Linked DNA regions of Arabidopsis thaliana. The protein of the gene in region 2 interacts with the protein of the main gene of each other region in a pairwise test. Each region holds a gene or a part of one and is shown on either strand. Other genes may lie near its edges. The genes, in order: AT1G20770, AT3G06530, AT5G59210 and AT5G57910.

Region 1 (7,546 bases), on a different chromosome or scaffold from region 2:
CTGGTATATGATTCCGTTGCCTTGTGACTTCTTGCTTTCGTTGTAGATGATTGCAAATAACATGTATTTTGTAAACAAACAACTTATGTGGAATTTGCTATGTTGTGACTTACAGGCTGGCAACCTGGAATTCAAGAAGGTGCAGCTCTTTGGGATGAGGAATGGGATAAGTTTGAAGATGAAGGTACAATGTTTTTTCCTATCTTTCTCTTACTAATACACTTAGATATATATAGTTAAGCACATAACAAGGACATTGACTGATAATGTTCCCACTGTTAGGTTTTGGCAATGAGATCACTTTTGACAAATCAAAAGAGCAAAACTCGTCTGGTGAGAAGGAAAATGGTACGGTGGATGATGGTAGTGGGCCACCTGATTCGCCGACCCATGTAGAGGACAACTATGGCCCTTTTTCAGAAACCTCAGACCGCCACCATGAGAGTGAATATGGGACAACTCACAGTGAAGATAGAAGTCCTAGAGACAGTCCTGTCTCTAGGAATGCTACTGAGGTCCCATCTCCAGATTATTCTCAGGGAAAGAATTCTGAATTCTTTGATGACTCGAATTGGGCAAGTGCATTTGACACTAACGATGATGTGGATTCAGTCTGGGGATTTGATGCATCAAAAAGCCAGGTTAGTAAAGAAACATAGTGTCTCTCGCTTTAACACATCAATCCATCTATCAAAATACTAAATCAAATCTTTCAGTTGTGACGAATAGACATTGAACTGATCTTTTAATTTCTACAAGATTTTGAAAATCCGTATTAAGTTCATGCTTTTCAGATTTGCGATGTTACATTTACCTTCTGTATGCTGAATCATTTAGTTATCTATTCAGAGTCTTAACCAAGCTTAGCATTTTCAATATCAACATTGGCAGGATGGAGATTACTTTGGATCAGGTGACGATTTTGGTGGAAACACAGCAAGAGCAGATTCTCCAAGTTCAAGAAGCTTTGGCGCCCAGAGAAAGAGCCAATTTGCATTTGATGATTCAGTCCCCAGCACTCCACTCTCAAGATTCGGGAACTCTCCACCTCGGTTCAGCGATGCATCAGCTAGAGATAATAACTTTGATAGCTTCTCCAGGTTCGACTCCTTCAACACCAGTGAAGCAGGCGCCGGGTTTTCTTCGCAGCCCGAGAGACTGTCTCGGTTTGATTCCATCAACAGCTCCAAAGACTTTGGTGGAGCTGCCTTCTCTAGGTTCGATTCAATTAACAGTTCCAGAGACGTCACTGGAGCTGAGAAATTTTCGAGGTTTGATTCCATCAACAGTAGCAAAGACTTTGGTGGTCCCTCGCTATCAAGATTCGACTCTATGAATAGTACAAAGGATTTCAGTGGTAGCCATGGATACTCGTTTGATGATGCAGACCCGTTTGGTTCCACAGGTCCCTTTAAAGTCTCTTCGGATGAAAGCCCTACGAAAAGGTCAGATAACTGGAACTCCTTCTAGCCTCGGTTACTATCGTTCCCTTTTATAATCCTTTTTCCTCGCTTGATGAACTTGTGCTTGTTTCATAATTATAATTTTTTCACCAAATTCTGGTTTTGGATGAGACACTAGCGTTAGTCTATTTGTAATTTGTAAAGTTTGTCTCTGTATTGGTTTCCTACTGTATCTCTGTTATGTTATGAATTCATTTGCTTTATATGAAAGAAATATTTGAGGATTTCGTCGTGGATAAGAGATTAAAGGACAATGAAATGATTTTATTTTTCTCCATTTTTACTGTTTCTCTTCTCCAAAATGTTTTATTATTTTGATATATCCTTAGCTCGAGGTCTTGTAAGAACTTCTGGTAACATTTAACCAAATCAAAACAGATACACTTGAAGGTGGTAGCTACAAAATTGAAAATCGAGCTAATGCATTGGTACATTCTAACCCTCTGACTCGAAGAAGATATGATTTTCGCAGCATCAAACTGCTATGATCAATGTAACATCAGTCTTTGAGGTTGGCTCCATTCTGTTTCCGTTGAATCCACTGAGCACATTTCAGGATCAGTTGTTACCAAGGAACTTCACTTCTCTGTGATCCGCTCAAAGGCAGATATCATCGATGCACGCATGTTGGCTATTTCCACCAGAGTTTCAAGAGCTGTCCAAAGACGAGAGAAAAAAGAGTTTCAGTTGTAAACTGGAATCTTCCTTTGAGTATACTTGTGGTGATGAGGATGTTACCTGTTTCAAATGATTGTTGAGCGCCACGCAGCTTAGGAGAGACTAGACCTCCAAATACTGACAGAGATTTTGCCCGTTCTTTCTTTATCTGGAGCTCAACACATTCGAATTAGTAAAACCATCGTCCTACATTTTGAAAACAAGTAGAGTTTCTGCAGACGGTTAAATGATTGCTCACCTCTTCATCAGCTGCTAAAACGGTTTCATCCTTGGCTGATGGTTTCTCTTCTATCGAATTACATAAAGCAAGAGATGATGAAACACCGACAAACAAAGGGCAGAGAATAACCAACAGATGAGTCTTTTTTTACCAGAAACTCCTCGATGTCGTAGCTGTGGGCTGAGAGGTGAGCCTATCTCCGAATCTGTATCAGTAGAGAAGTCTTTGCCTTTCCTGCTACCGCCCTTGGAAGCCCACTTGGACAAAGCAAAATGAGGTACTGATCCCAAAGATTCAACTACAAGAGTCCATAGACATACACTGTATATAAGTTGCTTCCCCGCAAAAAAAACATAAATTCATAGCATATAAACGTAAACCATTGAACTATCAAACGCCCAAAGCATAAGCCAAACTTACCATCTTGGTCAGTCACTTGCAATGTTGAAGAAGCGGGATGATACTTAAGATCTAAGAGAGTGCTGTTGATGCGTAAAGTTCCCATAGAATGTCGAGCACTAGCTAGATCAAACCATCCCTGCAAAAATAACACATTTCAGTTCCATACCAAATAAGTTAATTAAGGCAGCAGACTCTCACTCTCATCATATCAGTGATATGAATCCACAAAAAAGTTTCTCCTCATGGCTACTATAGCTAGATAATCAACGAAAACGTTTCCCACGCAATCCTTTTTAATCCCAGATTCAATTCAATTCAACACAGAATATCTCAAGTCATCTATACATCAGAACATAAGAATCATTCCCATAAGATCCCATTTTAGCTCAATACACCAAATATCATTCCAATTACCTCTCGAAGCTTAGAATTCACAGAATCCATAAGCGTTAAATATCCATCCAACGAATCTAGAAACTGCAAAACATTCTCATCTCCTCCCCCTTTTCCCAGCTCAGTTTTCACTTCTGATTCTTTATTCACATCCACTGATTCATCTCCTTCCTCGTAAATCTCCGCCATCGAAATTTAGCTCCAACACACGCGAATCAACAAATCGAAGCTTACACGAGGAAGACAACGTAAAGCGATCGAAACAGAGACAGATCAATTTCTCGAGTAAACGAGGCTATTTTCGTAATATTTCAATTAGTAAAGGCCCAATAGCCCAAGTAGAAGACAACGTAAAGCGATCGAAACAAAGACGGATCAAACGAGGCTATTTTCGTAATATCCAATTAATAAAGGCCCATTAATACCAATAGCCCAAGTCGAAAGATTACCTCTTTCGGGTCAAACCGGTTATGTTTATGGGTGGGTGGGTAGAGCAAGTCGAGTGTGTGTGAACACAGCGCCAGGCTGTTTGTCTCAGTTTGTCAAGTTGGCGTTTGGTGGCTCCACGTCTCTCTCTATCTCTCTCTCTCACATGACTTTTCGATTTTAGTCAACCTTTCGTGCTTTTCTCTTAAAAATTCGATTTTTTCTTCAACCCATCTTCTTCTCTGTTATTTCCTCTCGCTTTTACCTGTCTCTCTCGTTCTCGCACGGGGATAGAATCAACTCTGCTCGAGATTTTAGTAGGAGGCAAGCTCGATTGCTTGCAATTAGATCCATGGATGAAGAAGAACTCACACTTTCTCGCGCGTTTTTAGCTCAAGGAGATTTTTGAAGAAGTGGTCGTTTTCGAATTGTCAACTTCAGAAGAAGAATCAACTTTGGTTTTTTCTTTTCCCTTCTCTGTATAGCTTTGAGGAGGCGCTTCTTCAACTGGAACAGGCTGGTGTGCTTTTTTTTTTATCTCTTTTGGTATTTTTGAAATGCTTCATGAGACGTTGTTTCTCTTCTTTATCTTTTTGACGAATATTGCTAAATTTGGTAATCTTGCTATATAAGGGTTCATGGGAGTGATGATTTTGGGACACTGTTACTTTTCGTATTTTAGGTTATAGTTATGATTGAAAGTTTGAATTTTGTTTCCTTGGCTGTGAAAGAATCCGGGAACCAAACTGTGGTACTATCCCTTTTTGTGTTTCCAAAACTTTCTCATTCATTTACTATCAAATTTCGACACTTTCTTACCAGACTCTCTTGCATTGATGTATCCAAGTGGGTTTTCATCTAGGATCCTATGTTTCATAACAATGAGGTATTTGCTTGTACATTTGCAGTGAGTTTGAAGGATTAAGATGGTTGGAAGCTCGGATGGTGACCAGTCAGATGATAGCTCTCATTTTGAGCGAGGAGTAGATCATATCTATGAAGCATTCATCTGCCCATTGACAAAGGAGGTTATGCATGATCCTGTCACTTTAGAGAATGGTCGAACATTCGAGCGTGAAGCCATTGAGAAATGGTTCAAGGAGTGTCGGGACAGTGGGAGACCTCCTTCTTGCCCTTTGACATCTCAGGAGCTGACTAGCACTGATGTAAGCGCCAGCATAGCTCTGCGTAACACTATCGAAGAGTGGAGATCCAGGAATGATGCTGCCAAGCTTGACATTGCTCGTCAGTCACTGTTTTTAGGGAATGCTGAGACAGATATTTTGCAAGCTTTGATGCATGTGCGACAGATTTGCAGGACCATCCGATCAAATAGGCATGGTGTACGCAACTCTCAGCTTATCCATATGATCATCGACATGTTAAAAAGTACTAGCCATAGAGTGCGGTATAAGGCTCTACAAACTCTGCAAGTTGTCGTTGAAGGAGATGATGAGAGCAAGGTTGAATCTGATTTCTTTTCATCTCTGCTGAATATTTAGTGTAGCATTTTAATGGGAAATTGAGCGGGTGCTAATTAAATTTTCAGCATCTTGCAGGCGATAGTAGCTGAAGGGGACACTGTGCGTACACTAGTTAAGTTCTTATCACATGAGCCATCAAAGGGGAGGGAGGCAGCTGTTTCCTTGCTGTTTGAGCTCTCTAAATCAGAAGCTTTGTGCGAGAAGATTGGTTCCATTCATGGAGCACTAATATTATTGGTTGGTCTGACAAGCAGCAACTCAGAAAATGTTTCAATTGTTGAGAAAGCTGATAGAACCTTGGAAAATATGGAGAGGTCAGAGGAAATTGTTAGGCAGATGGCTTCATATGGTAGACTCCAGCCTCTTCTAGGCAAACTCCTTGAAGGTGAAAGAATTTCTTTTCTTTGTTTGGTTTTAATATAACAATTACGCTCTCTACTTCATTTGCATAAAACAAGTTATCATCTTCCTTCAGTTGGTAAAATTCTTCCTTCAGTTGTTCGGATGCATCACAGTGTTATGGTATTCTGCCTTAGAATTTGTTTGCTCTAGGAATTTTACATGTTCGCTTGTAAGAAGAGTCAATTTTCTTCTACCCAGATGGTCAAATCTTTCATTATTTTCCTCTGTTATATGGCAAATTTCTTGTATGAATAATGACACCACATGTGAAATCTGCAGGTTCACCTGAAACAAAACTCTCTATGGCTTCCTTTCTCGGGGAGCTTCCCTTAAATAACGATGTGAAGGTTCTTGTGGCTCAGACTGTGGGTTCTTCTCTTGTCGATCTTATGAGAAGTGGTGACATGCCCCAACGGGAAGCTGCCTTGAAAGCTCTTAACAAAATCTCATCGTTCGAAGGGAGTGCTAAGGTCTTGATCAGCAAAGGAATTCTCCCCCCACTTATCAAAGATCTGTTTTATGTGGGGCCAAACAACCTTCCAATTCGGTTGAAAGAAGTCTCTGCCACTATTCTTGCTAACATAGTGAACATCGGGTATGACTTTGACAAAGCCACTCTTGTTTCAGAGAACAGAGTGGAGAATCTGCTCCATCTAATTAGCAACACAGGTCCAGCGATCCAGTGCAAGCTGTTGGAGGTTCTTGTTGGACTCACCAGTTGCCCAAAAACAGTTCCAAAAGTTGTTTATGCAATTAAAACCTCCGGTGCAATCATCAGTTTGGTTCAGTTTATAGAGGTCCGAGAGAATGATGATTTGCGGTTGGCTTCCATAAAGCTTCTTCATAACCTTTCCCCATTCATGAGTGAAGAACTAGCTAAGGCCTTATGTGGCACTGCTGGACAACTCGGAAGCCTTGTTGCTATCATTTCAGAAAAGACACCAATCACTGAAGAACAGGCTGCTGCTGCTGGGCTCTTAGCTGAATTGCCAGATAGGGATTTGGGTCTTACTCAGGAAATGTTAGAAGTTGGTGCTTTTGAAAAAATCATATCCAAAGTGTTTGGAATCCGCCAAGGGGATATCAAGGGAATGAGGTTTGTGAATCCTTTTCTGGAAGGACTTGTGCGTATACTTGCTAGGATTACTTTTGTTTTCAACAAAGAGGCTCGGGCCATTAACTTTTGCCGTGAGCACGATGTTGCGTCACTCTTCCTTCATCTGCTCCAATCCAACGGGCAAGATAACATACAGATGGTGTCCGCCATGGCTTTAGAGAATCTTTCACTAGAGTCTATAAAGCTGACACGGATGCCTGATCCGCCTCCTGTGAACTACTGTGGCTCGATCTTTTCGTGTGTGAGAAAACCACACGTTGTAAACGGGCTGTGCAAGATCCACCAGGGAATATGTTCATTAAGAGAAACATTTTGCCTTGTCGAAGGAGGAGCTGTGGAGAAATTAGTGGCTCTATTAGACCATGAAAATGTGAAAGTGGTTGAGGCCGCACTTGCAGCTCTATCGAGCTTACTAGAAGACGGGTTAGATGTAGAGAAAGGGGTCAAGATACTCGATGAAGCGGATGGGATACGGCATATACTAAACGTTCTGAGGGAGAACCGAACAGAGAGGCTGACAAGGAGAGCGGTTTGGATGGTGGAAAGGATCTTGCGGATTGAAGACATAGCAAGAGAGGTGGCAGAGGAACAGAGCCTGAGCGCTGCACTTGTGGACGCTTTCCAAAACGCTGATTTTAGAACGAGACAGATCGCTGAGAACGCGTTGAAACACATTGATAAGATCCCAAACTTCTCAAGTATATTCCCAAACATCGCATAGGGAAAATCTCTTTGAAACTGTCCAGTGAGTTATAGTGATTTTAAAACTGTGGTTTTTGTTTTGATGGGATTACTTGTTAATAGGCATCCAGTTTTTTTCTGGGTATATATTGTAAATTCCGATTCTTATTTGTTTATAAATCCTACGTTGGAAATCGAAATCATTTGATTGGCCTCAGATTAAAAAGGCTTATGTGTGTTGCGGAGGGAGTTGTGCTTACTTTTGCATCAAATATATATT
Region 2 (8,003 bases):
GGTAGAAGAAATCCGAGTGTACAAACTCATTTCCCTGTATGATTTGCCAAACCTTTGGGCCTTTGGCGCCATTAGAGACGATTCACCGTTTTGTTGTTAATGTTTAAATAAAGGCAAAACGGCATGATGTTCGGATGAGGTGCTTTGTTTTTTACATACGCCTCGGGACTTTAACCAACGACATTTGGTTGGACCAATTAATAGTAAGTTTAACCGACCCAATGTCCGGTTTTTGTTCAGCTTGATACCTTACCCTGGTTGGAACTTGGAAACGGCAAGCATTCAGCTATTTGTATAAAAAGGAAAGGTGGAAAAACTACACGACTTCTCTGGAGCAAAATTTTAGGATGAGGTAGGCTAGGCCCATTTTAATGTCCATGAGTGATTTACTAGACTTGAGATCCACGGTAGTCCCAGATCAACGGCTCTTATTTTGACACGTGAACAAAACACAAAAAACACCTCGCGTTGTGATCTGAAGGATAAAGAAAAACAACAGGACGTTGTATTACATAAATTAGAAACGAGGTGCTGTTTTGGTGTTTTCCTTTTTTCGGCATTGACCTATCTTGACCGACTCATAATATAAGCATGCTTGTGTCGCCACTGTCTCTTTCTCTATATATAATAGCTCTCACTCTTCTCTGATTTTCTTCTGTTGAATCAAGGTCTCTGGAAATTTCATCATCTTCAGTCTTACTCCTATCCCTATTTTCTCGTTGGGTTGCACAAATTGTTTACTGATGACGAGCGATCGATTTTGGCGCGGCGGTGACCGCGTTGAGGTGGAACGACTAGTTTCTGGCGCGACGGCATATTTTCCGGCGAGTGTTGTTAGCGCGCCTTCGGTGAGAAAGAAACTCGTTTGGGTGGAGCATGAATCCCTAACTGTTGGAGGTTCCGTTTCCGTACGTATGAAGGAGTACGTCACTCCCACGCGCCTCCGTCCATCTCCACCGCGTGAACTCAACAGACGGTTCAAAGCTGACGATGAGGTCGATGTCTTCAGAGATAGCGAAGGTTGCTGGGTTAGAGGCAATGTTACGACCGTACTTGAAGATTCAAGGTACATTGTGGAGTTTAAAGGGGAAAATCGTCCAGAAATAGAGGTTGATCAGTTCAATTTGAGGCTTCATCGTGAATGGCTAGATGGTGGGTGGGTTCCTTCTCTTCTCCAACAGGTAAAACATTTCTCTGCGTTTGAATTGAATCTAGGGTTTGTAGAAAAATAGTGAATTTAATGTTTTAGGGATTAAGATACATTGAAAGATTTGACGAATTAATTGTAAATTTAGTAAAACCAAAAAAAAAAAAAAAAAAAAAAAAAAAAAAAAATTGTAAATTTAGAAAAAAGACTTAATTATACTATATATACTGTATGTCAAGCAATTTGAATTTGAAGATTTGTTGGAATTTGGCATAATAAACTCACACTGCTTTTTTGATTTACAGAGCAATTTCTCGGAATCGACAGCCCAAAGAATTAAACTGAAGATAAAAATCAAGAGAAGAGATCAATATGAGAAGGGAGCTCTTGTCGAAGTCAGAAGTGAAGAAAAAGCTTACAAGGGTTCTTGGTATTGTGCTCGTATACTTTGTTTATTAGGTGATGATAAGTACATTGTTGAACACTTGAAATTTAGTAGAGATGATGGTGAGTCGATCCCTCTGAGAGATGTGGTAGAAGCCAAGGACATAAGACCAGTTCCTCCTTCAGAACTCTCGCCTGTTGTGTGCTATGAACCAGGGGTTATAGTTGATGCTTGGTTCAACAAACGGTGGTGGACCAGTAGGGTTTCCAAAGTCCTAGGAGGAGGTTCTAATAAGTATTCAGTTTTTATCATCTCAACTGGTGAAGAAACGACAATCTTAAATTTCAACTTAAGGCCCCACAAAGATTGGATCAATGGACAATGGGTCATTCCTTCCAAGGTATTGACTGATGTGCCGGAAGAATGTTACAAACCTCCATTGAAGAAGCTGAAATCTTGTGAGAGAGCAGAGAAGGTGTTTAACAATGGAATGGAGGTGGAAGTTAGAAGCGACGAACCAGGTTACGAAGCCTCATGGTTCTCTGCAAAGATCGTAAGTTACTTGGGCGAAAACAGATACACAGTGGAGTATCAAACACTAAAAACAGACGATGAAAGAGAGTTGTTGAAGGAAGAAGCAAGAGGTTCAGATATAAGACCTCCTCCTCCTCCACTGATTCCAAAGGGGTATCGATATGAATTGTATGAACTTGTGGATGCTTGGTACAATGAAGGATGGTGGTCTGGTCGAGTATATAAGATAAACAACAACAAAACGAGATATGGTGTCTACTTCCAAACGACTGATGAGAGTTTGGAGTTTGCTTACAATGACCTTAGGCCTTGCCAAGTGTGGAGAAACGGAAAATGGAGTCGTGTATAAGGATGAGAAGAAGTTGGCTAACGGTTACAACTATTAATGAAGAGGATAAGGAAAATGACTTGTTTATAGTACATTTTTTGTTTATGAACATATGTTTGAAGTTGATGATGTCGTTAATTGTCTGCGTATAATATAATATTTAACTTCTAATGAAAGAGGTCAGGTGTTAAGTTTCTTTTTTGTTCTCTGTTCTCACTTCCATTTTACTGAAATTCTTGGATAGATGGGTTTGTTAATCTTGGCAAATGTGATGTGAACAGTGATTGTATCTTGACTTTCTTACACTTGTTTCAAGACTTTCTCGATTGAGGAATTAAAACGCACAGTTTTGTAATAGTAGCGGCAGATTAGAGATGGGCTTTATTATCAAGTTGTAAAACTATTGGGGTTTAAATTCGAAAAACAAAAAAATAGGTCATGGTTTAAAACGCAATTCCATTATAACTCAGGGGTTTCCTTGTTTCTTTATATTACTATATCTTCCAGATTAAAAATAAAAGGATCGTTAAACCCTAAACCCGCTTCTTCTTCTTCTTTCTCTTCTTCTCCCTCAACGCCGCTCTCTATCTCTCTATCTCTCTCTACCTCAAACTTATTCTTCGAATTTCCTCTGAAGAATAATCTTATCCCAATAGCGAGTATGAGTTCTTCAATAGTGTCACAGTTACAGGCTCTCAAGTCAGTGTTACAAGCCGATACAGAGCCTTCCAAGAGACCTTTCACACGCCCTTCGATTCTCTTCAGTCCTAAAGAAGCAGCTGATTTCGATATCGAATCAATTTACGAGCTCGGGCTCAAAGGTATGTTCTCTTCTCCTATTATGCAATTCTAATGAACAAGCTCAATGATAAATTAAATTCTCATCGTTAATTATTTTTGTTAATTCAGGTCTAGAAGTACTTGGAAACAAAGATGAGAGGTTTAAAAATTACATGAACGACTTGTTTAGTCATAAAAGTAAAGAAATTGATAGGGAATTGCTGGGTAAAGAAGAAAATGCTCGGATTGATTCATCAATCAGTTCGTATCTACGTTTACTCTCTGGTTATCTTCAATTTCGTGCTTCCTTGGAGACCCTTGAGTATCTCATACGACGATACAAGTATGTGTTTCCTTATCACTATTGGTTATGTATATTTGCCTTTGTTCGTTCATCGAATTGTCCTAATTGCTCTATATTTCAGGATTCATATATACAACTTGGAAGATGTGGTTCTATGCGCCTTGCCATACCATGACACACATGCCTTTGTCCGCATTGTTCAACTGCTTTCTACTGGGTGAGTATATATCTTTCACTTTCGATTTCGAAGTGAAGTCTCACAATTTATCATATCGATTAGTAAACCCTGGTTCTCATTTGCTTTACAGAAATTCCAAGTGGAAATTTCTGGATGGTGTTAAAAATTCAGGTGCTCCACCTCCTAGATCGGTTATCGTTCAGCAATGTATACGTGATAAACAAGTTTTGGAGGCCTTGTGTGACTATGTAAGTAGCTGTTAATATTTTTTTTCCCTATAAACTGGTTTTTGAATGGCTACATCAAACTGAACATCTGAAATCTTGGTTACATTGTAGGCATCTCGTACTAAGAAGTATCAGCCTTCAAAACCTGTGGTTAGCTTCTCCACCGCAGTTGTTGTTGGGGTGCTCGGTTCAGTTCCAACTGTTGATGGAGATATTGTAAAGACGATTTTGCCATTTGTGGACTCTGGTCTTCAATCTGGTGTGAAAGGATGTTTAGATCAACAGGTTTTTTAGTGGTTTTCTTACCAAATATTTTTCTCTAATTGATTTTGTTATTCAGTTGATGTGCCTTTTATGACAAACTTTATATGGTTCTAGGCTGGAGCGTTAATGGTTGTTGGCATGTTGGCAAACAGAGCTGTGCTAAATACTAATCTTATCAAGCGCTTGATGAGGTCCATCATCGACATTGGTCGTGAACATGCCAAGGAATCTTCTGACCCGCATTCGCTTCGATTGTCACTTATGGCCTTGATCAATTTTGTTCAGGTGCAATAACTTTCTGTCATCATGAACTTCTTACATTTTAATTTTCGATATCACGAATGTATAAACTTCTAAGTATGAGGTGGACATATTTTCTATTCCTCACTGAGGATTCTGCTCACAAGTGGTTGGTGTTGATTGTTTTAAACAATTAATTTTCTGAATCAACTACAGCTGCAATCTGTGGACTTGATCCCAAGGAAAGCATTGGATCTTTTTAACGAAATAAGGTATCTGAATATGAACAGTCTTCCTTCTGAAGCTTTTTTTAATTGTAACTATTACTAGTATTTTTTCAACGATGGCTTCAATTTTGTGCAGAGATATTTCTGGTGTTCTTTTAGGCTTGTCCAAAGAGTTCAACATCAAAAGATTCCTGGCAGTGCTACTGGATTCTTTACTTTTTTACAGGTGTATATCAAACACTGTTTTGTCATTTTCAAGCGGATGGATTTATTTTGTTAGTATTCATGTGTGATTTACTGTCATCTTGTTGCAGTTCGTCTGATGATAAATGCTGCGAAGTTTTAGCTTCAATAATTGAGACTGTTCCCGTAAGCAATTTGGTTGATCATTTGATCTCCAAGGTTTTCTCTTTATGTATGACACAATACCAGAAGAACAGTGATTTTAGATCTTCTACATCTGGTTAGTGATATGTCAACTACTTATGTCATTGAGTTTTGGGTGTTCATTTTTGAAGATTCTTTTTCAGATTCCTCTTTATATAACCAATATTGTTGCAATTTAGTTGTAGGAAGCTGGGCCAAGAAATTTCTGGTTGTTGTAAGCAAGAAGTATCCTGCTGAACTACGTGCCGCAGTTCCTAAATTTTTAGAGGTCTGTGCTCCAACTCTCATTTAGTTATTTTCCTTTGTGTTTGTTATATGGTCTTCTGAGTCATCGACTTCTTGTTGCAGGCTACTGAAGTTCAGTCGAAGAAAGAGGATTTAAAGCTAGAGATGTTGTCTTGTATGCTGGATGGGAATTCAGACATGTCTCACCCGTTTGTGGATTCAAAATTGTGGTTCCGGCTCCACCATCCCAGGGTACTATAACCTCTAATCTTAGTTATGTGAATAAAATTTTTTATTTACTTTTTGCGCAAGACTGAGGGCTTCTTATAAATAATAGGCTGCTGTACGTTGTGCCGCGCTTTCTAGTCTAAATGGTGTTCTCAAGGATGATAGCTCTAAAGCAGAGGTATGTGTGGGGTACTCATTCCAAGTATTTTTTGTTTCTTTACTTTGACTTCATGTCATCTTACTGTTCTTCAATATCTTTTTTACCCTCTCCATCCAGAACCTTGTCACAATTCAGGATGCTATACTGCGTCAGCTTTGGGATGATGATCTGGCTGTTGTTCAGGCTGCCCTCTCTTTCGATAAGTTGCCCAATATAATAACCTCTTCTGGTCTTCTGGATGCTTTGCTTCATGTGGTGAAACGATGTGTTGGCATTCTCGTATCAGGTGAATAAAGATGCTCTGTTCTTTTCTTAACTTGTTTCAAGTGTGGAATTTTCATATGTTCAGTTAGTTTACCTCGCACTATCCATTCTTGTTGCAGGAGTATCACATAATGTTCAACTGGCAGTTGATGTTGTTGCTTTGTCTCTTAAAATTGCTGTCTCAAGCTTCGGTAATCAAACAGACTCTACTGAGAAAGTTACCTCTGCAATGTTCCCATTTCTCTTAATTCAGCCGAAGGTTCTTTCTTGTTCTCTTCATTTTCTACAGCTATGGCGAAAGTCTTGTTACTTCTACTAATTGCTGTAATCATGTCTTTTAATAGACGTGGAATTTAAATCTACTTGTGCTAAAGTTGGGAAAGGATGTTAACTGGCCACTTTTCAAGAATCTTGCTGCTGATGATGGAATGGTAAATATGAGTTTACGATTTTACTATCCTTCAATACTCCAAGTCGCAATCACAAATCTTTTAATGGTTGTTGAATATTATTATCATGTCATCTGAAAAAGAAAAATTGTTGCAGAAAAAGCTCCCCGATATCATGTCTACAAACTTATCCTCAATTAGCATGGATATTATTAACGATTTGGGAGAAGCACTCTCCTTGGATCCTGATGAGCGTAGGATTGAGCTTATTGAGAGAGCGTGCAACTATAAGCTCTCTGAAGTTTTGGAAACATGCAGCAATATCAAATGTTCAGAACAGGATCGTAACAAGTTGCAGGTTTGTCATTACTATACTGTTTTCGTAAAAAAAACTTCCAAGTCCGCATTGCTATTTCAATATTTTAACCTATTTCTTGTCTTCACATACTTGGTATACTATTATTCGTTGTTTCTGAGATTTTATAAATGGTTATTTCATATCAGAAGGGACTACTGATCCGTGAAAGTGTGTCCGCATTGAACATAGATGTCATTAACAAGCTGGTGGAAGCATTTATGATGCACCCTGCTGATTATATTCAGTGGCTTACTGTCAGTTGCCGAGATTCCACCTTGTCAAAGACACTGTTTTATATGATTTTGATGCATTCCCTGCAGAAGATGAATTCTTCATCTGGTAAGCTTCTGTCCATAGTACTGCGTTAACATACATGCTGATGTTAAAGTCTTTTTTTTCATTTCTAAGCACCGTAGAAAACTTGGTCTTACATGATTTTAACCACGATATGATGCTGATGGCTGTGTTTTCCTTTGATTTAGACCCTAGTCAACTTTTGGATCTTTTCGAACTTTGCTTTCCTGTTTTGAAGACTGAGTGGGAAGAACTTGAGGTCGAGGTTGATGTTTCTCTGAAAGAGGTATAGAATTCTACCAGCTGATGTAATATTTTCATCTGATGGTTGATACATATATTATCTTGTTAGTTGATATATTTGTGTATTACTTGCAGCTGTCGAAAAGCAACTGCCAAGAACTCCTATATCAACTCCTTGATACCTCTGATTTTACTGCTCTGAATTCGAAGGTTCTGATATGCTTGTTTTGGAAGTTGGGCGAGTCATTCATTAAACTTGAACCTGCCCACGATGCTTCGGTGGGTGATGCTCAACCATGATCTCGTTATATTTGGTTATATTGAAATTTTTTCTACCCAACCAATTGCAATGCTCACAACTGTATTTGTGTCACTTCACCTTTGTTTAGGTTTTGAACAAAAGGTTATCTAGCGGACTTGAGGATTTGTTTTTCTTTTTTGCAACAACTCGGTTGCGGCATGTCTTCAAGGAACACCTTCATTTCCGTGTGAGAGAAGCCAAAGTCTGTCCTGTTTTGTTTCTATCCCGACTGATCTCACGAGAAGGTTTGCATGGAAATTTATATTTCCTGCTAGTTTATAATTGATGTTATAAACTACTGATCCCACTTTTTATTAGTTGATAATTCTCTCGTCTGTTTTATGCTGTTAAGGCTCGTGGAATCTATTATCTGGTAACTGTTTCTGTTTATTTCGTATCCTGTTTTCTTATGCTGCAGTCTTCTTCTTGCAGATGTTCCTCCTCTTGTCCAAATTGAAAGTCTCAGATGTTTTTCGTATCTTTGCTCTAGCGGGAATAATGAATGGTTGATTCAAGTTTTTTCAAGCTTTCCTGTACTTT
Region 3 (9,071 bases), on a different chromosome or scaffold from region 2:
GAGATGAGGAAGGCCATGGAACCCACACTGCGTCAACGGCTGCTGGTAATGCGGTTCAAGCTGCTAGCTTCTACGGTTTGGCTCAAGGTACTGCTCGTGGTGGAGTTCCCTCGGCGAGAATAGCCGCATATAAAGTCTGCTTCAACCGCTGCAACGATGTAGATATTCTGGCTGCGTTTGATGATGCCATTGCCGATGGTGTTGATGTTATCTCGATCTCAATCTCAGCCGATTACGTCTCCAATTTATTAAACGCTTCTGTAGCCATTGGTTCTTTTCACGCAATGATGAGAGGAATCATCACGGCAGGTTCAGCTGGGAACAATGGGCCTGATCAAGGTTCGGTGGCTAATGTATCGCCATGGATGATAACCGTTGCAGCCAGCGGTACGGACCGGCAGTTCATTGACAGAGTCGTTCTTGGTAACGGAAAAGCATTAACGGTACATTTTCTTATCTAGTGACAACGTCATTTCACATCCTAGTTCAGATTTAGTGACAAAGTTCAAGAGTCGTTGATACTCTGTTTCTTTATACAGGGTATATCAGTTAATACATTCAATCTCAATGGGACAAAGTTCCCGATCGTTTACGGCCAAAACGTGTCGAGAAATTGTTCCCAAGCCCAAGCCGGGTGAGTAAGAAGTCTCTTCTTCTTCTTAAATTATTCTACGTTCACATCTGAATCTTGAATCAAAACACATTGATGCCTCTAATAGTTATTATTATGGACAGTTATTGTTCAAGTGGGTGTGTGGATAGTGAGCTGGTGAAAGGGAAGATCGTTCTATGTGACGACTTCCTAGGATATAGAGAAGCTTACTTAGCTGGAGCCATTGGAGTCATTGTTCAAAACACATTGCTTCCAGACAGCGCATTTGTGGTTCCCTTTCCTGCCTCTTCTCTGGGATTTGAGGACTACAAATCTATCAAGTCATACATTGAATCTGCAGAGTATGTAAGCAGTAATGAATACGAACAGCTTTGTTTTTCGGTCTTGAGATGTTAAAAGAGTTAACTTTGCAGGCCTCCACAAGCAGAGATACTAAGAACCGAGGAGATAGTAGATAGAGAAGCTCCATATGTTCCATCTTTTTCTTCTCGCGGGCCAAGTTTCGTCATTCAGAACCTCTTGAAGGTAGTGCAACCGGAACAAAGATCATTAAGCTTGTGTTGGCTTTATATCCGAATCATTGTTTTTGGAATAACATCAATGTTAGTTTGCAGCCTGACGTAAGTGCACCTGGATTAGAGATTCTGGCTGCATTTTCTCCGGTAGCTTCTCCTTCAAGTTTTTTGAACCCTGAGGACAAGAGAAGTGTGAGGTATAGTGTAATGAGTGGCACATCAATGGCTTGTCCTCATGTGGCAGGTGTAGCGGCTTATGTCAAGTCTTTTCACCCCGACTGGTCTCCCTCGGCAATCAAATCCGCTATAATGACCACCGGTATAATTCAAAACAACAATACATTCTTCTGATTTTCTTACTTTTGGAATAATACAAAAACGTATTATTGTCATGGTATGTAGCTACCCCCATGAACCTTAAGAAGAACCCCGAGCAAGAATTTGCATATGGATCAGGCCAAATTAACCCGACCAAAGCAAGTGACCCCGGACTTGTATATGAAGTAGAAACAGAAGATTACCTCAAAATGTTATGTGCAGAGGGTTTTGATTCAACAACGCTCACAACAACCTCAGGACAGAACGTCACATGTTCGGAAAGAACAGAAGTCAAGGATCTGAATTACCCAACAATGACTACGTTTGTCTCTTCTCTTGATCCATTCAATGTCACGTTTAAAAGAACTGTCACTAATGTTGGATTCCCAAACTCTACGTACAAGGCAAGTGTTGTTCCTCTCCAACCGGAGCTTCAGATTAGCATAGAACCAGAAATACTGAGATTCGGTTTCCTGGAGGAGAAGAAATCTTTTGTTGTGACCATCTCTGGTAAAGAACTGAAGGATGGAAGTTTTGTAAGTTCGTCTGTGGTTTGGTCTGATGGGAGTCACAGTGTCAGAAGTCCAATCGTTGCTTACTCAATCCAGCCTTAAGAAAGGAGTTATGCTCATTTTCTTTTCTTGTATCATCAAAAACAGAGAGAAGAAGAGACAAAGTTTTGAGGGACTAAGACATACTTACTTGAGAACAAATCAACAAAGTGTATCTGACACTAGAAACCCATTATAATATCTATTTGATTCTCTTTGAATCTAAGAATTCGATTCAGTTCTTGTAATCTCTGATAAATTGCTTCTTTATGAGGGTGTGCTATATCTCCCACAAGAAACTCATGGATCTGATTGTCCACTTCGATAGTACTGCATCCTGGTTCCTTCTCAATCCCTGAATCTCTCATACTCTCTCTGATTTCTGTAGATTCTTTCCATTTCCCAGATGAAGCGTAAAGATTTGATAAGAGAACGTATGTCCCAGAATCTGGATTCTCAGATTCGAATAGTCTCTTAGCGATTTTTTCACCGAGTTCCATGTTTCCATGGATCTTACAAGCACTCAAAAGAGTTCCTAACATGATATGATCCGGCTCTATTGGAATATTTTCTATGAATCTGTAAGCCTCCTCTAGTCGCCCCACTCGACCAAGAAGATCGACAATACATCCATAATGCTCAATCTGAGGTTCAACATTAAAAACTCTCTTCATAGAATTAAATACTTCAAGCCCTATATCCAACAAACCTCCATGGCTACATGCGTTTAAAAGAGCAACTAAAGTCACCTGATTCGGCCTAAATCCTCTGTTCACCATATCCCGAAATTCATTGATAGCTTCAACGCTAGCCCCATGCATTGCTAATCCAGAAATCATCGTGTTATATGATATGACATCTTTGTCTCGCATTACCCTAAAAACCCGCCTTGCCTCATTGATATCACCACACCTGGAGTACATATTGATCAACGCATTACCTACGAAATTACTAAGCTCCATCCTTTGGTTCTCAACAAACGAATGTACCCACCGCCCGAGCTCCAACGCACCTAAATCCGAGCATGCGGATAAAACACAGACAGCTGTAAATTCATTAGCACTAACATTCTCCATCTGCATTTCCCTAAAAAGCTCCAACGCTTTGTTCATCTCCTTGTTTCTAACCAACCCATCAATCATCGCAGTCCAACAAACCGTATCTTTAATCTTAACATCTTGAAAAAGCTCTAACGCCTCCTTAATGAAACCGCATTCAGAATAACAATTAATCATGACCGTTGCTGCAACATGATCTCTGTCAGGCATTTCATCGAACATCTTCTTAGCATTCACCAATTCCCCAGATTTCCCGTAGATTTCCATCATTTTTAGCCCTACCGATCTACTAGACCCGAACCCTAGTTTCAAAACCTGGGCATGAATCTCTCTACATACCTTCAAATCACAAGCTTTCAAAACTGAGGTGATCACGTAGTTATCAGGCAAAACCGAATTGTGAATCATCCGATGATACAGCGAAACTCCATCAGCAGAACGACCAGATGACACAAAACCATCGATCATAGCAGTGTATAGATATACATTAGGGTTAGATACGTAACTAAACACGTCGTAGGCGTAGTCGACGGAATCGAGAGTGGAGCAAACACGGATAAGTTCGAAAACAACGAAAGCATCTTGGTCATGGAAGGTCCTAATGATCTTGGCGTGAATCGATGGAACATGGGCAATGTTCTTGCAGCTTCGTAATACAGAGATTAATGTTTTCCTGCGTGAAAGCCTGAGAGTGTTTGAATCGGGATCACGCCGGAAAGTTGAAGGCCCTCCGGTGATCGCTGCCAAGGAAGAAATCATTTCGCGCTCAATTGAAGATTCTAAACCGTTACAATTTTCGGTTATAATTAGCCCAATCCAAGTAAAATGGGCCTGTAACAAAAGGCCCAGTTCGTTGATGAAGATAAAAAAAAAAACCAAGGAAACCAATTTGAACATTGTCGAGATTTAGAAATTCGGTTTAGTCTCACTTCTATAACCAAACTCCAAACCTTCCAAAATCAAACTTGAGGAAAACGAACCGAAGCTTTCAATGAACAACAGTTACAACACAACGAACCAAATTGTTCAATAAAGAAAAAAGTGTTAGATTCACTTGTCCCCTTGGTTCTAAATAGATGTTTTGTTGTATAAAAATATATTCAATACTCAGAAGTGTGCCCTTGGTTCCTGATTCACTGTGCCACTGTAACCGATCCATCTTGCTTCAGCTTGATTAAGCTACTCTCTATGTTTCTAAGCACAGGTTTATAGCTGCAAGAAATCGTAATAGAAAACAATTAACAAGACAGGATAGAATCTCAATGGATTGAAGAAAGTTCCGTGAGAAACTTACATGCGCATAAGCCCATTGTATGCTTGTGTTGCTTGCTGGAGTTGAGCTGAGAGTTGGAGGACTTGAGCAGATAATGATTCCGCTCTGCTCTGTTCTTTCGCAAGTTCACCCTGAAAAAACAAAGGCAGAATTTAACACCACAAACACTATTTGTGTTGAATTTTCTATTCTAATACTTAAGAGTCGGTGAGGACCAAAACCTTGAGGGATAGAGTATCAGTTCCATGCGACCCATTTGCCTCAAATTCTGAAGGCCCTCGTGAAAAAGAACCAGCTTGTTCTGTTCTCAACTTGTCCAGAACTTCACGGAGTTCTACGTTTTGCTTCAGACATTCTTTCACCTATGCAGTTGGCTACAAGTCAACGTAAAGTCCAAGAAAATGTTTTTAAGCAAATGTAAATGTGACAAGCTTACTTGATTCTCCCACTGATTTGATATGTTGATTGATTCTTGATACGAAGCTGAGAGGTTCGAGTTTTCCTCAAATAGCTTCTCTATTTCAGATGATTGGTTGTCAATTTCCATGAGAAGTTTTTGCCTACTACTCTCTAATCTTTCAAGTGCAACAGCCATATCATGCAACTGCTTCTCGAGTTTTTCTTTATCTTCCTACATGAAAACCATCGAACCTAAAACTTAGGGATTCCATAAAACGTGAAAGCTTATATGCTGGCAAGTGGGAAAAATGGGTTATAACAATTTCTTACCACTGAAAATACTTTTTGACCAGACTCTGATACTTCTGCATAATAAATAACACAAAAAAAGTCATTGATATGTATCCAACAATGCACAACTCAGTAAAAAAAAATTCCGAATGACTCAAAAGCATTTAGACGTCAGTTAGTGCATCCAAACACCTGATGATCGTAACAGCTGCAAATACAGACTTGCTTTGAAAAGAAGAAAAAAAAAAAAAATGTGTGGCATCGCATATTACCTGAGGCCCTGCTGGATAAAACTGAAATTTTCTGTTCCAGTTCCTGCTTTTCAGACATTAAAGAAGCTACTCGAGTTTGTTCTTCAGCTAAACGATGTTGTTCTTGCTGCCTCAACACTGATTCTTTCTGTGTATGTTAAGAAAATTATTATCTTAGATACAGAGACTCTCACGAGGAACATATTATCTGTTTCAAAATCATACGAACCTGTAATTCTAGTTTTAGGTTAGCCATCTCCTTTTCTAATATTGGTAGTTGGTCTGGGGAAACTCCCATTGGCGACATGCCAGCAAATGAATTACCCATTGCTTGCTGTTGTATCGAATTAAGCTCTGCTCTAAGAGATGCTGCATCTTCCTCAGCCTATCAACAATGGGTTATGGTATCTTTTAAGAAAAGAAAAAAAAAAAAAGAAGAAAGAAAATTTTTAATTTGGAAGGCAAAAGATTGTTACATACTCGATATTGTTCCTCCTCTGCCTGATTAACACGTCTCTTAAGAGTCCTAACTTGAGCTGAGAGATCCTCCTATAAACAAAAGCTATGCCTATCAAAATGCAATAAAAAAGGAGATAATTTTTTGCACCAAAAGAACTAAAACAAGTGTATTCCCTACTCGTAAAACAACAGCAGCATCTTTCTCCATTGCAATTTCCTTGAGGGCTTTTCTCAGAGATGGCACTGTGTTTTGTTCCTGTCATTCATCGATAAGAGTATATGTCAAGACATCTTGAATCGTTTACCAAATGGACTGTCCAGAGATTCATATTGCATGTCAAGCCTCACAAACCAATTAGTACAAAAAACTAAACAAACTGCAGCCAACCAGGACTAAATAAGATCACAAATAAAAGTTTACTTGTTACTTACCAGCACATTCAACCGAGTCTCAAGTGATTCATTCTCAACTTCCTTCGTTTGAAGCTGAATCCCACAGACAAATACAGTTTAATCAACATACAACCTTGGATCTAATATCCAACAAGGCAAAGAGATAGACACAGACCTTTGAAGACAAAATTTTGTTGCGCTCCTCCATTTCTGCATTCTTCTTCTGCAGTTCTTTAAGCTGGGAATATAAAGCACCAACATCTGTCTGTACAAGTTATTCAAAACAAACCATTATTACCAGGAAGATCATAATATCAGTAAAACCAATACAAAACTCCCATTTATGTTCATTCATTTACTCAAGAAAAGTTGAATGAGCCTATCCTCAGGACAATATGCAAAATCAAATTTGTCCATAAATCCTAGAAGACATGATTCGATTAAGGCATTCTCATTATCAAGACCGTCGCAATTCTAAAGAATCCAATTAGATCACCAGGTACAATTTTTGATAAGCAGAGAAATGCTACCTCAGAAAGTCGATTTCCGCTCTCAGATTTTCTGATCACTGGGAAATCTGAAATAATGAAGTAGTCAATCAAAATTGCAAAGCTAGTGGAAAAGGAGATGGCAAAACATTGAAATTGGAGATGAATAAAATTACCGGCAGGATTGGGAATTTCACTAAGATCTGGACCTGAAGAAGCTTTGCTTAGCCTTTGAGCTGCTCTCTTTTGACGAATCTCTTCCAACTACAAGATCACAGAAATTAATAACAACAAAAAAGCACCGATGTAAGAAACTGTCTTCAGATGAAGATAAAGACGGCCATATCGGAAATATCCTTACAGTACGGCGACCTAGAGACGCGTGGTGCGATTCCATGGTATGATTCCTCTCCTCGGAATTTCGAACGTCGATTTAACGGTGAGGAAATCGCCGGCGACAAAAATGGAATATATCTATATTTGGGCTTATAGGAGTGTTAAATAGGCCCATGGACATATATAACTCTCTGACCTTGAAAGCGAGCCCAGTTTTTCAATTTCAAAAAGAAAAAAAAAATTGAATAAAAGTTGAAAACAGGATGATAAAAGAAAACCAGTTTCCGACAAAAAAAAAAAAAAAAAAAAAAAACCAGTTTATGCAATTGCAAAGACATTTAAAAGAAAAAAAAACGAGAATGTTCAAAAAAATCGTTAGGCGATAGCTAGGAGTTCGATTCTAAAAAAGTTACCAAAGTTTGGCGGTTGGAAACGGTTGGAAGTTATCAAAGCTTGAATCATCATTTTGATTTCTAAGTACTTTAAACAATGTTCAGTCTTAATGATCGACATCTTCTAATATGTCACATGATAAAGTGTGAACCATACCCGTTTGATGAAGAGTTATATAAACATGTTTTATAGATTATGTTGGCAAAAAAAAAAAAAAAACGTTTTACATAATAAGAAAAAAATGTTATAATATTGAATCCTCCCAATTAACCTTTGAAGTATTCTATACCGATTGTTTGCCTTGTTTAGTTACAAAATACACTTGAAAACAAATTCCTTAGTAAATATTTGGTTCTTTTCCTATTCTTAAAGATATCAGTCTAACATTTCTAATATTCCTATAAACATCGTCCTATATATAACAAAAAATAAATTTAAAAAGGTAAGATTTTGTTATGATCAACTGATTCTATTAAATTTAAAATTAAATTGAACTCAAGTCTTTCACATTTCACGGCTTTTTACCATTTTCACTACTGGTGAAAATCTTTGTAGATCTAAACCGCGATTCAACACAGTGACTGACATAACCCATAGTCAAGCTAAATTAAAAACCCTTCGTTGTCTTACACCGAAGAGCAAAAAAGGTTAAAAGAAAAAGCCCAAAAGTCGATGACTCAGGACAAAAAACAACAAACATTACGAGAGAGACAAATACAACTACGTGTCTCGTCGTAGATCAACCACCACAACACTTACGTTGTCCGAACTTTGTCTAGCCAACGCAAGCCTCGTCAGCAACAGCGACGCCTCCTCACACGCTTTATCTGGCAAATCTCCTCCTCCAACCACCACATTCCCGGCGCCGACACCTGTCATTTCCCTTTCCGGTGATGATGATACTTGACCATTGACTTTTCCTCTCAAACACATTCGAACGACGCTACATGCAGTTTCGTTTGAAACAACGTCCCAAAGACCGTCACTTGCGAGAATAAGAAAATCGTCTCCGTTGGCCCGGTCCGTCACGGTTACCTCCGGTCTGCTGATTACATACGGCTTCAAGTAATTATCTCCTGAAAAAAAAAAAAAAAATCCGCGGCGAAACGAGAGTTAATAATCATCATTATTGAAAGTACGGAAAAACTTTGTACAAACATTAGGATAGGGACAAGAGTGTTTTCGTCAAGTGTAATCAATTAACTGACCAATGGCTCGTGACATTGCAAGTACTCCAAGGACACGTGGGCCATCCCAGTAGATAACACGACCACCCGCTGCTTGAATCCGGTCTAGCTCGTCCGGACGGTCTGGCTGTTACAACAAATTTAAACAAGAGAGAGAGAGAGAATGATATAGTCATTGATAACAGTGACACGAAGGATTAAAGAATCTTAAAACTCATAAACTTTATCAGATCCTCTATCTAAAAAGTAAAAAGTCATTAAACATTCTTAATCGTCGTCCAGGTGTTGCATGCACATTAAAGAAGATTCTAATTTCCAATAAATGAAATAATAAATAAAAAATGCATTAAACAATATTAATAGGTAAGTTTCGAACGCAACACGTAACGAAATTCTCGTTTCATTACAGTGAGTAAACCATAACCGTAGATCTAACGGATAAACATTTAACGATGGATAAACGAAACAAGAGAGATTATCAAAAAACGAACAAAACCTTATGATCGGAGGATAAAGCAATGGCTTTGCCGTTACGACAGAGAACGG
Region 4 (7,634 bases), on a different chromosome or scaffold from region 2:
CTATCACAGAGGAAACAAAAAACACAGATAAAAATCGAAACTTTTGATTCGAATAACGCTTCCAGAGAAGACTTACTTGTTGGGTTCGTAAGAGAGTTAACGAGAGACTGGTTTAGGCGGCGAGTGGTGAAGCCATACTTCGGTTGAAGAAGACAGGAATTGTACAATGTAGTAGCCGCCATTGTTTTGGCTCGAAGTTGTCGTTTGGAGAACTGAGAAACTGAAGAACTCGTAACGTTGTCGTTTTAGCATAGAAAATTCCAAAAACTTAAAAATAAATGGGCCACTCGGTTAATATTTGTTTAGACCCGTTAGTAATCGGGTTTAAATGGGTACCCGTTCAAACATTACAAATAGCCCGTTTAGACCCGTGGGCCTAAGGTCCATTTTAACAACACGACATATAACAAACAACCGACCCAAGTCAGAACTATGGGCAGCTTTATTATAAAACATGGCAGTGTGTGTGTAGAAATCAGATTCTCATGGCTTGTATGTCAAATCTCTCGTCATAGAGTCTCCAATGTCCATACCTCTCCGTCTGCGCCACATCCCCTGACCTTGGCACATACACATCTGGCTTCTTTACCTCCTTAAGCCATTTAAGCCTTGACACGTTGCTTGTAATGTCACGGCTTGACAAATGCACACACCCAAACAAGTCCAAGTACTCTAGCTTGGGACAACCCTCACATATCGAAGCAAGACCCTTGACAGATAATCTAGAGAACTGAATCTCCAAATGCTCTAGATTGATCATATGTTTCCCAATCGCGTCAGCTTCTGTGTCTCCGTCTTGAGGACAAGCGTCTAAGTATTCTGTAGGAACAGAGCCAATGTGCCGAGAAGACCAATCCATAAGATTACGTTTCAAGATCCTCAGATTAGGACAGTTTCTACCAATCATCACAAGAGTGTCGTGAGATATCTCGTGACAGTAACTGATATCAAGTTCCTTTAAACTCCTGCACCGAAACGCTATCTTCGTCATCGATGCGTCTGTCACGTTAGGACTGCTTCTAATGGCAAGAACCTGTAGATTCGGGCATCTATTGATATGTCCAAAATCAGACTCGTAGCCATAGAAAATTCCAAAATAGAGGATATCACAAACTCAATCACGATCTTGATAAGAAAGATATTTACCTATCGGCTGCGTAAGAGAGAGCGTGGTCGCTGCAATGGCGGACGCGGATCTTAGTGAGACCACCTTCGCTCCAATCAACGACTGATCGTAGCATTAAGTCTACCTTCTGCTCGAACTCAGGGGACCACAAGTGAGTCGACTCGGGATAGGAATCGAACCATGGCTCCAGATCGAAGATAGACCAGAGATACGGATCTCTGCAAACAGTTAGCCACGATTTTTGGACGAACATCGGACCGGTCCATAGCTCCTGAATCGTAAGCCTTGAAATGATGTTGATGAGTATCTCTGGAGCCAATCCGCCCCAATCAGACCCGTCTTCTTCCATAAAGATTCTTGTTTTGTTTTCAAAGATCGGTTCTTTGTGTTCGGTAATAATGTAGTTTAAAGTTACACGAAACGTGTCTCTTTAGACACGTGTCAATGCATCTGACCGTTAATTTTGTTCCTTGACTTTTGGATCACTTCCATAAATGTCGTTTGCTGACACATGTTTCGGTATAGAAATGTCACGTTTGCAATAAGCCACCATTGGATAAGGTTTTTAAGTTTTCAAGTCACAATTGGATATGTTGTTCAATCAAGATAAGTAAATAAGCAAGCTAACTTTGATGTGAAGCTATGTTACAACAAGATCTATGAGGAGGAACAAAAGGTTCCGTCTTCTTATTTTAGACTCTGAGAGCTGCGACAGGATCTTGCCATGAAATTTTCCTCTTATTTGATCCGTTTCCGCCATTCCTGCAAGAAGATGGCTTCACATCTTTCTGCTGCATCTCAATGCTACTGATCATTAATCTCTTACATGAATTACTTTCTTCAACTCTCGTGTTCTCTTGATTATTGTCCACTGCCTCTGTTTCTTGCTCTTCTTCTCCCTATATAAATCAATTTATGAGTAAAGACATGTTTGGTTTCTAAGTCTCTTCACAATCTGATTAAGAGTGAAAAATGTGCTTACAGATATCTGATTTAGATCAAACAAAGGAACTCTTCTCTTAGGACTGGTTTTGGTTTCATCGTGAGCCTTTTCCGAGTGGTTTAAGTCAGGAAGCGAAACATGCTTAGTTTCCGCCTCACTTTTGTTACTAGGAGACACTTCCACTCGGATCTTCTTCCCACCATTTGATCTTCTGACCTTTTTAATCTCTTGTGGCTGGTCTTGTCTCAAATGTCTGTATCTCCGTCGCAGAAATCTGTTAAAGAGGTTATAAACGAACGATATATTAACAAGTGAGGAAAACATCAAAGGAAAGGACTAATGATATATTTTGTCAAGGATTGAAACTGTCTTTACCTGACTTCAGCCATTAGTGTTGCCTTTCTTTCTCGCACTGCCTGTAACCTTTTTCTCATAGCTTCGGTTTCCTAGTGTATATAATCAACCAACACACGTTAACAAAAGCTCATAACCAAATGATCTCAAAGATCAGAGTATCGAGCTGATAATATGTACACAACAAGGTTTTAAATCCTAAAACTATGTTTAAGAGTTAAGACTAATAGAGATTTGCATAACTAACTACACATAGAAATCTTAATAAGTAATTAACTTTGTTAAGGAAGCAGAAGCAATTAAACTTAAAAGTTTCTTCTTTCTATTATTTTAAAGAAGAAAGTTGTTCCTTTTTCCGGGTTTTCCGAGTAGCTCTGAGCCCAGATCAATCTTTGAGCAAATAAAATTACATTCTCAGATCCAGAGACAACTAAAACCAGACCCAGAAACTGAAACTTGATCTAAAACTCAAGAAAAGAGAGTTCGTACCATATGCAATTCTCCATAGTCTTGCATAAGGCTATGATGCCTAAACCTGACCTTTGGATCCTCGAAATGATTAGAGTTCAAGGGAGTGAAATCTCCGTGAGTTGGATTCATCAGATGAGTAAATTACAGAATCACACAAGGAGAGAAAGAGAGAGATGAAGAGCAAAAGATGAAAACAGAGGAAAGAGAGAAATGAGAAAGAGGAAGGTTCTGGGTTTCGTGTAGAAGTCTAATATCAATGTGAGGAGAAGTCAGAGAAGGACAAAGAAGCAGAAAAGAAGGACACATCATGTTGTTGCTGTTGTTGTTGTTGTTGTTGTTGTTGTTGTGAGAAGGAAAGAAAAGAAAAAAGAAAACAAAAATTAAAATAAAAGGCAAAATTTGCTTTTTTGGATGTGAGTGTGTTGGGTTGAGACAGCAGTGATGAAGATGGAAGCAGACTTATGCAGGAAATGGGTAATGACTTGTGGCACTAAGTAAATTGTGTAATGGGTCAAAGAAAACACATAAAAGCAACTTCCTTTTTTAATAACATTTTATCAACTAGACAACTTTTTTTATATTAATGGGTTAGTTTGGTTAGAGAAATCTTGAAGAAACCAAACCTTTCTGTTTTGTTTCTTGTGTTCCATTGTCGTCTGTAAATATTAAGTTTATCTTCATTCAACTGGGTCCATTGTATAGAGACCGATGAGAATGGAGGTTGAAATATATTTTTCAGACTTTTTAATATAATCCCTCAAGAAAAGTCAGATGGTGGAAGAGAAAAAAAAAGATTCGCCTTTTAGTTATTACTTAAAAAAATACGGATTTTGCAGAAAACTCTGTCTTGATTTCTGGAAACTGGTGCAAGGTTTTAGTTTTCTTCTATATAAAAAAAAAATCTTCTTATTACGTCAATTGTTAAAAGATTGCCATCTCTTCACATGCATTCCATTTACTCTGTTACCCCAAAAAAAAATAAAGTTTAAGGCAATGACTTTTTGCGTTCACATCGATGATTCTAGTGTGTTTAATGCATCAGTTAGTCAGTGACCATCAGCTGATGCAATGGTGAAAAAGGGTTTGGTCACAATTAACACACAGCTCTGTAGTAACTGTAACGGTTAGCTTCTTCATTTTCACGAGCTTTGTTTCTATGGTAGTCACGTTTTAATTCATGGGAAGGATTTGTTTGGATTCAAGATGCCACTGACCTATCTTCTCTTATTTATTCTTGCAAATTCTCATCATATGATTAATCATCACAGAAACATAATTAAACTTTTTTGTATAACCAGAATGTCTTCAGTAATGATGTGTTGTTGTTTGCTTCTCTTGTTTGGTTTGTTGTCTGAAGGTAGAGAGATTCTGGTGGGAGGCAAATCTAACACATGGAAGGCTCCAGAATCTAGAGATGAAACACTAAACCAATGGTCAGGCAGAACAAGATTCAAAATTGGAGATTCTCTCTGTAAGTAATAAGATTTGACTTTGGTACATGGCTCTGTTTTGTTTCTCATAAAAGTTCATTTTGTCTTTCAACAGTGTGGAAATACAATGCGGAGAATGATTCAGTGTTGCAAGTGAGACAAACAGATTACGAGAGATGTGACAGATCAGAGCCAATAAGAGGATACAAAGATGGTCACACGAATATAGAGCTGAAGAGGTCAGGTCCTTTTTACTTCATAAGTGGAGAAGAAGGACATTGCCAAAGAGGAGAGAAGCTTCGTGTTGTTGTCTTGTCTCCAAATCACAACAGAAGCGTTGTTGATGCTCCTGCTCCTGTAAACATTGTCTTGTCTCCAAATTACAACAGAAGCGTTGCTGCTGCTCCTTTAAACGCTCATATCATGAACAAGGGAAGCCTGAACACAGCATGGAGTTTGCTTCTTCTTCTTCCATTAGGCCTTTTGGTTTAGTCTTGTGAATTACCTCTAGCCAATTCGGTTCGATTTCGGTTTGTATTTTCCGGTTTACTTGTTACTTTGGCTTGTGATTTAGTCTTGTTTCTTAGCCAATTCGGTTCGATTTCGGTTTGTAAGTTTACTTGTTTCTTTGCATTACTCTGTCTGAGTGTTTAATACAATGTTAGTTTTGGTTAATATCCTAAATTCAAATTGGAAAGAAAACATTAAAGGCCGGATCGGTTATACAACTGTGGAATTTGGAAACAAATGTTATTATAAGTGGGCCTAATGGGAACTTCTGCCCATTAAAGGCCCATTATTTGAACTTATTAGCTTTAAGCTTGTCCACGATTTACATTAGCTATCTTCTTCGTCTCCGGGACTGAGACCGCTCTCTCTTCCTTATCCTCCATCTTCCAATGGTTTAATCCAGCAACTGTCGACGATGTCGATAACGTACTCCGCTATTTCCTGTAAGTTTCTTCCTCACTGTGTGTCGAATCCGTCCTCAATGCTCAATTTTATCCATTTATTGTGAGACTGTGATTGATTTTGGTTTCCGTTGTTTTATCCAGCTAGTACAGTTTCTGGGTTTTCACCAAAAAGTGTACCTTTTGCTATTCATAGCGTAACCAGGAGGCAATTTCTTAATCCCAACACGTTTTATAGATTTGGGTTCTCTCCTTCTCTTCAGGTCAGATTCCTTTACTAGTCAGTATCATCCAATTCTCCAGACTCTGCTTCGTTGTTGTTTTGGTTCTTAGAATTAGACCACACTTCGTTGCTTCCCTTTGAAGTAGAGAGTCAATGTTTACTGTTATGTGCGGATATGTTGTGCAGGGAAGTAGCATTGAGTTTAGCCTTCAGTTGAATTCAAGAGTTGTGCTTAGTAAAGAGCGTCGATCTCTGCCATTAGTTGTGAGAAATGATCGTCCTCAGAATGAAGACTTACCTAAGCAGTACACAAGGCGAGAGAAGAAACCTTTCCCAGTCCCTATTGTGGACCTGAGACGAGCTGCGAGGGAGAGAGTCAAGAACAACAAAGACAAACCTAAGAGACCTCTACCTCCGCCTAAAAATGGTATGGTTGTGAAGAGCCTTGTGCCTCTTGCTTATAAAGTATACAATGCAAGAATCAGATTGATCAACAATCTCCACCGGCTTATGAAAGTTGTTCGTGTTAATGCTTGTGGGTAAAAATTCTCTTCTTCTTCTTGTTTCATTTTTGGTCTGTTTTGAGTATGGCCTTTTTTTGATGTTGTATGATTGGTCTCTTAGGTGGTGCAATGAGATTCATGTTGGACCTTATGGGCATCCATTTAAGTCGTGTAAAGGTCCCAATACTTCCCAAAGGAAAGGTCTTCATGAATGGACTAACTCGGTTATTGAGGACGTTATTGTTCCTCTTGAAGCCTATCACCTTTTTGACCGCCTTGGCAAGCGTATCCGTCATGATGAAAGATTCTCGATTCCCCGAGTTCCTGCTGTAGTTGAGCTCTGCATTCAGGGCGGCGTTGAAATACCCGAATTTCCAGCAAAAAGGAGAAGAAAACCGATTATCCGCATTGGCAAAAGCGAGTTTGTTGATGCAGATGAAACTGAATTGCCTGATCCAGAGCCTCAGCCTCCTCCAGTGCCATTGTTAACTGAGTTACCTGTCTCAGAGATCACTCCCCCATCTAGCGAAGAAGAAACAGTCTCCTTAGCCGAAGAAACATTACAGGCCTGGGAAGAAATGAGAGCAGGAGCCAAAAAGCTGATGAGGATGTACAGGGTTAGGGTCTGTGGGTACTGTCCAGAGGTTCACGTAGGTCCAACGGGACACAAGGCCCAGAACTGTGGTGCATTCAAGCACCAACAGCGGAATGGCCAGCATGGTTGGCAATCTGCAGTACTTGACGACTTGATACCGCCAAGATATGTTTGGCATGTTCCTGATGTGAATGGGCCACCGATGCAGCGAGAGCTACGAAGCTTCTACGGGCAAGCACCTGCTGTTGTGGAGATATGTGCTCAGGCTGGCGCTGTTGTACCTGAGCATTATAGAGCTACAATGAGACTGGAGGTTGGAATTCCTTCGAGTGTGAAAGAAGCTGAGATGGTTGTTTGATATGTAGAAGACCTTGTAAACTTCTTCTTGTACAAAATCCTCCATTCCACCTTGTGTTGTATAATAATATCACAGCCCAGGTCTTTTTGACTTTTGAAGGACAAAAAAAACAATCCACGCTAATCCTATTATCAAGGGTAAAAATGTCATTTGCTTCGTTTTCATCTTTTCTCGTTGCCATTTTCTTTTTTTTGTCTGTGTCAAGTCGATACCACTTGTCTGGTAGCTTTATACCCACTTTCATCTTTTTCATGTTCGTAGTTGTTCCTCTGGTTATCCTCATCAACGGGACCCTTGAAACCGTGTAGCCATGTAAGCCTTTGTCTTTGTCTCTTTCTCTTGCTTCAGCAAGTTCACGTCTGCTCTATTTCTAATTTTGTTCTAAGATTCAATTCTCCTTTTTTCTATGCGAGAAATTTAAGATTGGTTCTCTAGCTCTACCTCTTTAAATTTGTTACTATGTGTCGGTGTCCATCATTCATCAAATTTTTTCCTTTTTTATCCATTTGAGTTGATGTAATGATGTTGCTTCGCTTCATACTGGTCAGAGTTAGTCTAATCTTCATTTTAGCACAACTTGACAACTTCATATGGTTATGACTTATTTTTACTTGGGTCTTTCAAAGGTTAAGTATTTTAGTCTTATTTTGGGATGATGCAGCTTGCTTAATGATTAGAGTCTTAAAGCTGTGCTCTTTCTTCATCGATTTGAGCAAGTGA

The links.
Region 1: the proteins of AT3G06530 (region 2) and AT1G20770 interact in a two-hybrid assay, tested with the Arabidopsis thaliana proteins (one large-scale study listed by BioGRID).
Region 3: the proteins of AT3G06530 (region 2) and AT5G59210 interact in a two-hybrid assay, tested with the Arabidopsis thaliana proteins (one large-scale study listed by BioGRID).
Region 4: the proteins of AT3G06530 (region 2) and AT5G57910 interact in a two-hybrid assay, tested with the Arabidopsis thaliana proteins (one large-scale study listed by BioGRID).

Annotation. Positions count from the first base shown.
Region 1 is NC_003070.9:7,213,304-7,220,849, forward strand, and holds AT1G20770 (coiled-coil protein), read right to left. Parts: upstream 3,595-7,546; 5' UTR 3,346-3,594; coding exon 3,178-3,345; intron 2,900-3,177; coding exon 2,782-2,899; intron 2,660-2,781; coding exon 2,513-2,659; coding exon of another isoform or gene 2,430-2,512; coding exon 2,380-2,429; intron 2,290-2,379; coding exon 2,202-2,289; intron 2,119-2,201; coding exon 2,042-2,118; 3' UTR 1,712-2,041; downstream 1-1,711. Other genes in the region: AT1G20760 (Calcium-binding EF hand family protein), read left to right, coding at 1-3, 116-184, 283-641, 892-1,470; SAUL1 (senescence-associated E3 ubiquitin ligase 1), read left to right, coding at 4,509-5,045, 5,142-5,451, 5,748-7,306.
Region 2 is NC_003074.8:2,019,541-2,027,543, forward strand, and holds the start of AT3G06530 (ARM repeat superfamily protein), read left to right. Parts: upstream 1-2,919; 5' UTR 2,920-3,055; coding exon 3,056-3,215; intron 3,216-3,303; coding exon 3,304-3,517; intron 3,518-3,599; coding exon 3,600-3,695; intron 3,696-3,786; coding exon 3,787-3,904; intron 3,905-3,994; coding exon 3,995-4,168; intron 4,169-4,261; coding exon 4,262-4,432; intron 4,433-4,603; coding exon 4,604-4,659; intron 4,660-4,750; coding exon 4,751-4,840; intron 4,841-4,928; coding exon 4,929-5,077; intron 5,078-5,180; coding exon 5,181-5,269; intron 5,270-5,349; coding exon 5,350-5,478; intron 5,479-5,563; coding exon 5,564-5,632; intron 5,633-5,731; coding exon 5,732-5,900; intron 5,901-5,997; coding exon 5,998-6,137; intron 6,138-6,222; coding exon 6,223-6,309; intron 6,310-6,424; coding exon 6,425-6,625; intron 6,626-6,771; coding exon 6,772-6,964; coding exon of another isoform or gene 6,965-6,981; intron 6,982-7,107; coding exon 7,108-7,205; intron 7,206-7,297; coding exon 7,298-7,441; and 4 more. Other genes in the region: AT3G06520 (agenet domain-containing protein), read left to right, coding at 744-1,181, 1,453-2,415. UniProt on the Arabidopsis thaliana protein: Involved in nucleolar processing of pre-18S ribosomal RNA. Involved in ribosome biosynthesis.
Region 3 is NC_003076.8:23,886,614-23,895,684, forward strand, and holds AT5G59210 (myosin heavy chain-like protein), read right to left. Parts: upstream 7,157-9,071; 5' UTR 7,007-7,156; coding exon 6,971-7,006; intron 6,874-6,970; coding exon 6,786-6,873; intron 6,699-6,785; coding exon 6,652-6,698; intron 6,387-6,651; coding exon 6,297-6,386; intron 6,215-6,296; coding exon 6,161-6,214; intron 5,985-6,160; coding exon 5,907-5,984; intron 5,819-5,906; coding exon 5,750-5,818; intron 5,655-5,749; coding exon 5,499-5,654; intron 5,418-5,498; coding exon 5,291-5,417; intron 5,093-5,290; coding exon 5,058-5,092; intron 4,960-5,057; coding exon 4,765-4,959; intron 4,691-4,764; coding exon 4,550-4,690; intron 4,460-4,549; coding exon 4,350-4,459; intron 4,268-4,349; coding exon 4,189-4,267; 3' UTR 3,933-4,188; downstream 1-3,932. Other genes in the region: AT5G59190 (subtilase family protein), read left to right, coding at 1-443, 540-634, 736-954, 1,027-1,138, 1,228-1,447, 1,531-2,060; OTP80 (Tetratricopeptide repeat (TPR)-like superfamily protein), read right to left, coding at 2,180-3,814; HAI1 (PP2C protein (Clade A protein phosphatases type 2C)), read right to left, coding at 8,059-8,414, 8,547-8,652, 9,022-9,071.
Region 4 is NC_003076.8:23,449,441-23,457,074, forward strand, and holds AT5G57910 (ribosomal RNA small subunit methyltransferase G), read right to left. Parts: upstream 3,524-7,634; 5' UTR 3,024-3,523; coding exon 2,913-3,023; intron 2,814-2,912; exon of another isoform or gene 2,516-2,813; coding exon 2,445-2,515; intron 2,344-2,444; coding exon 2,109-2,343; intron 2,026-2,108; coding exon 1,819-2,025; 3' UTR 1,641-1,818; downstream 1-1,640. Other genes in the region: AT5G57890 (Glutamine amidotransferase type 1 family protein), read right to left, coding at 77-182; SKIP1 (SKP1 interacting partner 1), read right to left, coding at 476-1,049, 1,147-1,475; ENODL10 (early nodulin-like protein 10), read left to right, coding at 4,098-4,365, 4,440-4,816; APO2 (APO RNA-binding protein (DUF794)), read left to right, coding at 5,250-5,277, 5,380-5,498, 5,645-5,997, 6,083-6,914.